Mus musculus: one gene and its partner. The protein of the gene in region 1 interacts with the protein of each later gene in a pairwise test. Links are inferred from orthologs where the notes say so. Each region holds a gene or a part of one and is shown on either strand. Other genes may lie near its edges.

What was found.
Region 2: the proteins of Daxx (region 1) and Ets1 interact in binary tests that used the Homo sapiens proteins (3 or more experiments, as listed by UniProt). The link is inferred for Mus musculus from reciprocal best matches to the Homo sapiens genes DAXX and ETS1.

The regions. Positions count from the first base shown.
Region 1 is NC_000083.6:33,912,301-33,916,047, forward strand, and holds the end of Daxx (death domain-associated protein 6), read left to right. Parts: coding exon 1-69; intron 70-287; coding exon 288-507; intron 508-972; coding exon 973-1,426; intron 1,427-1,505; exon of another isoform or gene 1,506-1,542; coding exon 1,543-1,762; intron 1,763-3,042; coding exon 3,043-3,102; 3' UTR 3,103-3,290; downstream 3,291-3,747. UniProt on the Homo sapiens protein: Transcription corepressor known to repress transcriptional potential of several sumoylated transcription factors. Down-regulates basal and activated transcription.
Region 2 is NC_000075.6:32,733,706-32,737,352, forward strand, and holds part of Ets1 (protein C-ets-1), read left to right. Parts: intron 1-234; coding exon 235-483; intron 484-3,647. UniProt on the Homo sapiens protein: Transcription factor. Directly controls the expression of cytokine and chemokine genes in a wide variety of different cellular contexts. May control the differentiation, survival and proliferation of lymphoid cells.

The sequences.
Region 1 (3,747 bases):
CGAGCCCGGCTCTTAGGCACCGCCCCCCAACCTTCAGACCCCCCCAAAGCCTCCTCGGAATCTGGTGAGGTATGGAAGGGTTAACTCAGATCTTGTCTGCGCCCTGCACTGCCACTAGGCACTCCAGGGTGACTCCTGGAGCAGCGTATGGAAGTGGGGAAAGAATATTGGTGATGTGCTTGCCTTGCAGTCTCGCAGTCATGAGCTCCCAGAGTTGAGTCCTCCTCCTACCAATCAAAAAGCTGTGGGGCACGGGATTCCTTAAGAGAGACTGCTCTTTCCCTCAGGGTCCTAGCGGAATGGCATCCCAGGAGTGCCCTACTACCTCCAAAGCTGAGACTGATGATGACGATGATGACGATGATGATGACGACGACGAAGATAACGAGGAAAGTGAGGAGGAGGAGGAGGAGGAAGAGGAGGAGAAAGAGGCTACTGAAGATGAAGATGAGGATCTAGAACAGTTGCAGGAAGATCAGGGGGGTGATGAAGAAGAGGAAGGAGGAGGTATATGCGTAAACGGAGCTCCTCTGTGGGGAGCATCCTTGTGGTGTTAGTTCTGCTCTGTCGGACATGAGCTCCTTGTTGAGCCTTTCCCTCCCTTCCTCCCTCCCTCCCTCCCTCCCTCCCTCCCTCCCTCCCTCCCTCCCTTCCTTCCTTCCTTCCTTCCTTCCTTCCTTCCTTCCTCCTCCTCCTCTTCCTCCTCCTATGCCCTTTTTTTTTTTTTTAAAGATTTATTGATTATTATATGTAAGTATACTGTAGCTGTCTTCAGACACACCAGAAGAGGGCGTCAGATCTCGTTACGGATGGTTGTGAGCCACCATGTGGTTGCTGGGACTTGAACACTGGACCTTTGGAAGAGCAGTCCGGTGCTCTTACCCACTGAGCCATCTCTCCAGCCCTCTCCTATGTCCTTTGCACAGCCCCTCTATCCCTGTTCCTCATCCACCCCTCCCCTTTCTTTTCCAGATAATGAAGGAAATGAGAGTCCCACATCGCCTTCAGACTTTTTCCATAGAAGGAATTCAGAGCCTGCAGAAGGGCTCAGGACCCCCGAGGGGCAGCAAAAGAGAGGACTGACAGAGACCCCAGCATCCCCGCCAGGGGCATCCCTGGACCCTCCCAGCACTGACGCTGAGAGCAGTGGAGAGCAGCTCCTCGAGCCGCTCCTGGGAGACGAGAGTCCTGTGTCCCAGCTCGCTGAGCTAGAGATGGAAGCTTTGCCTGAGGAAAGGGACATTTCCTCCTCCAGGAAAAAGTCGGAAGATTCCCTCCCCACCATCTTGGAAAATGGGGCAGCTGTGGTTACCTCTACATCTGTCAATGGGCGTGTCTCTTCTCACACTTGGAGAGATGCCAGTCCCCCCAGCAAGAGATTTCGGAAGGAAAAGAAGCAACTGGGCTCTGGACTGTTAGGAAACAGGTAATAGTGGGTGAGGAGGAAGGCAGGCAAGGAGGCAGGACTCTCTGAAGGGAGCCTGATGTCCTAGGTCTCCCTGCAGCCTCAGGCCCTTTCTGTCATTTTTCTTCTGTCCTTAGCTATATAAAAGAACCGATGGCACAGCAGGACAGTGGGCAGAACACAAGTGTCCAGCCTATGCCATCCCCCCCCTTGGCCTCTGTGGCTTCTGTCGCTGATTCCTCCACAAGGGTGGACTCTCCCAGCCATGAACTGGTGACCAGCTCTCTGTGCAGCCCTTCTCCATCCCTGCTTCTCCAGACACCCCAGGCTCAGTCTCTCCGGCAGTGTATTTATAAGGTGAGTGGGCAGTGTCCCCTGGCACTGCATTCTCACCCTTTCCCTTTCTGTGGGTATTGCACCTCCTGCTCCTCTGTTTTCCCCATCTTCCTGCCCGCCCGCAAGTGCGTGCACGTGCATGCATGCTTGTGTAGTGACAGTTTTGGAATTTTGGCGTCTTTATAACAACTCAGAGCTGAGTGGTAGCGACACATGCCTTTGATCCTGGGAGGCAGAGGCAGGAGCATCTCTCTTGAGTCTGAGGCCAGCCTGGTTTACAAAGTGTGTCCCAGGACAGCCAGGGCCACACAGAGAAACTGTCTAAAACCCAAAAACCAACTAACTGACAAACAAAAAACCAGTGAAATAGGTTTTCATTTTAATCCCGGTGTGGAGTGTGGGGCTGCTTCCAACTGACTGTGACTGTGAGCTCTAGAGGTGTGGCTTTACCAGCTACAGATAGTTGCTTTGGTTGTGTGAAGTGATGTTTGGAATTCTGGGAACTTTTCAGGAGAGCATATAAATGGCAGAGCCTCCCCACCTTCCAGGAAGCATGGTTGGTGGTAGTACAGGGGTTGGTTGTGGTTTGTTAGTAGTCTTGCTCAAAGAACAAACAGGAAGAGAGACATTAGAATCAGAGATCCTGTCTCTCCTGTCTATCCTTTCTTTTCTATCTAGTGATGGGGGCGGATAAAGGGGAGGAAAAAGAACACACAAAGTCTCAAAGACTGGCTGTGTGTGTGTGTGTGTGTGTGTGTGTGTGTGTGTGTGTGTTTAGGTTTAACCCCATCAACCAGGAGGCAGAGGCATACAGGTCTCTCTAACTTCAAGGCCACAGTCTAGTCTACCCAGTGACAGTCAAGGTTACATAGTGAGACCATGTAAAACAAAACAAAAAAGACTTATTTTATGTAAATAGGTGTTTTGTTGGCATGCATACCTATGTGCTACATTTGTGTCTGGTGCTCATGGAGGCCAGAAGAGGGCGTCTGATCCTATAGATCTGGAGTCACGGAGAAGGCAGAGAGCCGCCATGTGAGACTGGATACAACACTCGGGTCTTCTGCAAAGCAGCTGCGTGCTTAGTGGCTGAGCCATCTTCCAGCCTTCCATCCTGCTTTGTTTTGTTTCTGAGACAAGGTCTTTCTATGTAGCCCTGACTGTCCCAGAACTCTGTATGTAGTAGATCAGGCTGGCCCCAAACTCGGATATCAGCCCGCCTCTGCCTCTTGAGTGTTCGGACTAAAGGCGTGAGCCGCCATGCCTGGCTCACCCTTCTTTCTCCTCTGACTTGTCTGCAGACCAGTGTGGCCACACAGTGCGACCCGGAGGAGATCATCGTGCTTTCAGACTCTGATTAGCAGGCCCCATGCTCCCCGTGCTCCCTGCATCCAGAAGGTTTTTTGTATGGCTGTTGGAAGATGATGGAGTAAAAGATGGACAGAGCTCCTCCCGTTTTGATGGTGTTTCTTTTGACAAAAAAAAAAAATCAAAATGTTTTAAGTTTTACACAGACACATTAATAAACAATGAATTTCTTTTTATTGTATTCTTTCCTTTACTTTGCCTTTTCTCTTGTGACAGCTGTCACCTGGATCTGCCTTTTCTATCCTGGCTCTCTTTTTAGGGCGTCCTCATCCTTAACCCTTCCTTGAGCCTTCTTCCCCTAGGCACTTTTAAAGATAAGTGCTTCGGAAGCCTTCTTAAGCAGCTTTCCTCTCTCGTTTTGAGCGGTCTGAGTGAAAAGGCCAATCAGGGGCTGACTCAAGGTGATTTGGCCAATCCAGGCCTGGAGGAGGGGGGCGGGGCTTGGGGGGTTCTCATATGCTGGGAAAAGGGCTGTTAGATCCCGCGAGCAAGCTAACGTCCAGAGCTCGGGGTGGAGCCTGGGAAGCGGAAGCCAGCACTGGTCAATGAGACAAGGTAGGCTTGTCGGATTAAAGGGGAACGAAGGTTTCGGCCAAACCAATTCCTGAGTCCTCAGCCGCAGACGGGACCTGGTACCT
Region 2 (3,647 bases), on another chromosome or scaffold:
AACCAGACTTACTGTACAGAGCAGTAAATTAAGGCAAAAGGGAAGGTATCTTATCAAGGGCTGCAGGTAGCAAGTTGTGCATCAAGGTTGAACCCAAGTCCTTCTGATGTACTCTTTACTTCTCTATTAAGGGAGTCAGCTCACATCACATGGGGGGAGGGGGGCTTGATAAGGAGTGAGAATGGATTCTCTCAGGTCCCAGTGTCTCCAACTGTAAACATTCTCCTTTTCTAGGCTACGGTATCGAGCATGCTCAGTGTGTTCCTCCCTCAGAGTTCTCAGAGCCCAGCTTCATCACAGAGTCCTATCAGACGCTGCATCCTATCAGCTCGGAAGAACTCCTGTCCCTCAAGTATGAGAACGACTACCCTTCTGTCATTCTCCAGGACCCTCTCCAGACAGACACCTTGCAGACAGACTACTTTGCCATCAAGCAAGAGGTGTTAACTCCAGACAACATGTGCCTGGGGAGAGCCAGTCGTGGTAGGTCAATTTTACTTTCAGACTCCTTGGCTGTACAAAAATTGCCTCGGTTCCTTCATTGTCCAGGTCCCGTTTTGCTCACTTATCACTCCTTTATTCACCAGTCTTAGCTTTTCATTTTTTCAAGTGTATGGACAAGAAGACTTTTCTGCCGTGAGATTTTAGCTTTATCCAGTATGATGACAGAGACCTTGGGGTCCATGATGGAACTGAGCATGGCAGAGTAATAATCAAATGTGTTATCAGGGTACACGGTTTGCCTACATATTACTTCTAGTTGGACTTTGAAAGGCAGGCTGCAGTTTCTTTAAGATAGTTTTGCTTGAGATCATAATCTTGAAATTTGGCCTGTGCTTTGGCAGCCTTTCAGGGTTCACCTGGGTCATACTGTAGACCCTGGACTGGTACCCGGGATGACCCTCGCTGCTCATCCTGGGAAATTAGCCACTTGTGACTTCTTTGGTTTGGGAAGATACAAGATGGTTAACCAGTGGTTTATTTGGAACTGGTCATCAACAGCCTGGTGAAAGTATGTATTTAGCTAGGAGACCAGGGGAAAGGTGGCCAGTGGCTTCCAAAAGAAGGTACTCTTGTTGACAAGGCTATTATAGCAGTGATAAATAGTCGCTGGCAGTGAAGTCAGTGTTTGAAAATAGGTCTCGCTGACCTGATGCCCCAGAGGTAAGATGTACCTGATGTTGAACCCATGGCCTTGAACATCGCACTCTGAGAAGGAGCCTGTTCTGATGATCTTGTTGCTGAGAAAAGTGAAGTCTGATAGAAGGAGGGCCTTCTTCACCCAGGAAAAGCCTAGTAGTTTCTGAAAAGCCTAGAAATGACTTTCCTGGTGGGAAAGTATTAAGACAGGAAGAGGAGAGTAGTGATTCTTGCTCTCCGAATGACTCCCCGTGCTACCTGCTCAATGTGACCCATCCCTCCTGTGCTAGGGATGCTCTTTAACTGCAGCTCCTCTTTGCTCCCAGCCTGCCTTGCGAGAGCTCTCTGGCCTCGTACAGGGAAAGTCCCTGCAAAATCAGTACCCAGAATGTCCATCTTATGCTCCTAGGTTGTTTTTGTTTTAAACTAAAGGGAATGGGTGGGACCGGGTCTGTCTTCCCCTTTTCTGCCTGTCTTATTTTTGGGTACATGTCTATTTAAATACATACCCTCAAGTGTGTGCATCTGTGCACTTCTTCTTAAGCAGGTTGAAGCCTTAGCAACATTTTTTTTCCCTCGTGGGGCTGTCTCTCTGTATATTTAAGGAGACCGAGTTGTGGGTTTGGGGTTCAGCCGTGTTGTAAATCTGTGTACATCTGTAATCATACCACTTTACAATTGTGGCTGGTTTTGCATTTGTGGAAATGCCCTCCTTTCCCTTTCCTCATCTTGGTTCTTGGATCCTCACTACCCTTCAAACCCTATCTAATGATTATAAACCCCAACTGATCCTTACCGAAGGACGTCAGGTATTTCTTTGTGGCTCTCCTGTCCTTCAGTTCCTCCAAGCTCAGGCCACAGACTTAAGGGGAAGACCAGCTTGTGCAAGCCTGCTTGCTGCCTGGTAGATGTGCTGTGACACGGCTGGCCAAAGGGCCATTGATTCTGACTGTTGTGATTGGTCTAGACTGAAGACATTACTGTTAGCTGACTATTAATAATCGCAGTATTCAGATGCTGTGTTACAGTATACAAAGTACTTCTCTGTCCCACTTATTTGAGCTCTAAGGCCTGTCTTTGTGTAAGTCTTTTCTGTGGGTGGCTGTGAGGCTACCCGTCTCCTGTTCAGAGTGCTGTTCGGTGGACTCAATTAGCTTTGGAAGGACCTTGCAGAGGCTTTTCTTAGAGAAGACAGTCAGTACTAGTCTCAGGGATGCGTGCCTCCCGGATCGAACAGAGAAGCAGAACCTAATCCTTTTGGATTCAAGTCAGTGTTTTGGGGAAAATACCCGTTAATGAAGGCTTCCAGCTCCAGGGTTGTGAAATAGAACTAAGACTAAAGCTGCCCTCCACGCTAAACCACAGTCTGAACCGAGAACCATCTGGTGAGGCTGCAAGAGAGTGGTGACGCCTACCTTAGCACTTAAGCTAAATGAAGCCCTTTCAGATCCTGGCCCTCCACATACAAAAATGGCTGAAGAGATAAGAAAAACTCCAAGAGCCTGAAGCATAGGGAATACCTACTTATGGGTGACTCAGAGGGCAGGCCATCCTCCGTGGAAACACGGTTTTCCTTCTTAGGCTTTTGGTGTGTTTGTGCTAGAGTGAAATGGAATGGCAGTTAGCATCTATAGCTAGGATGAGAACACACCTTTGATGAGATACCAGGGAACTCTCTGCCCTGCTAAGAAGCCCGTGGCATTCCGTGAGGGTGGGGGTGCTGCTTTCCTGAGAAATTTAATGTGACTTAAAAAATGAGTAATGGAAAGGGACTAGTTTGGTACAGTCATGGCCACTCGTTCCTTAGGCTCTGATTTGCTTTGTGAACATTGCCTTCTTTTGAGCAGAGGGTGGAGTGAGAGCTGGCATTTCTGTCTTCATCACTACAGGAGAGAGCAGAAGGGCAGAATGTTCACAGCAGACATACTTGTTTATCTGGGACTACTTCTTTAATTTTGAGAACAATAGCTTCCCCTTGTATTCGACTTTGATTTGGGAAGCTGCTTCTGTCTGAGCATTGTTTTCTTAACCAGTCCTCAGCCAGAAAGAAGCTCGCTGATGTGGTTGGAGAAGACCCTCTTCCTCTTCAGGGTTTAGCCAGCTTCGCACGGTCGAGAAGCGACTTGAGGGCACTCCTGCACAGGCTTTTCTTACCTCTCTCCATCTCCTAGCGTACGTTGGGTAGGAGTGGCCATCCCATCTCCTGCGGTCTGCCGCGAGCTGCCTGGGAAGCAGCTGGTCATTGGCCGTAACAAATGTTCCTGGGGTCCCTTGTAATTCTTCAGTGTATTTATTTTCTCTTAAAGCTTCCATGTTAGCCCCCCCCCCCCCTTTTAATGCCATTTTTACCAGTGGAGACTTCTCCAGCAATGCTTGCCCAACTGCAGTGGCTGTGTATAACCAGCTTGGGGAGATGAATGAACGTGCATGATCATGTGGTCTGTTCAGAATGCTTTAAGCAACTCACCCTGTGAAGGGTTTCTGACCCTGCTCTGGGCCTTCATTCT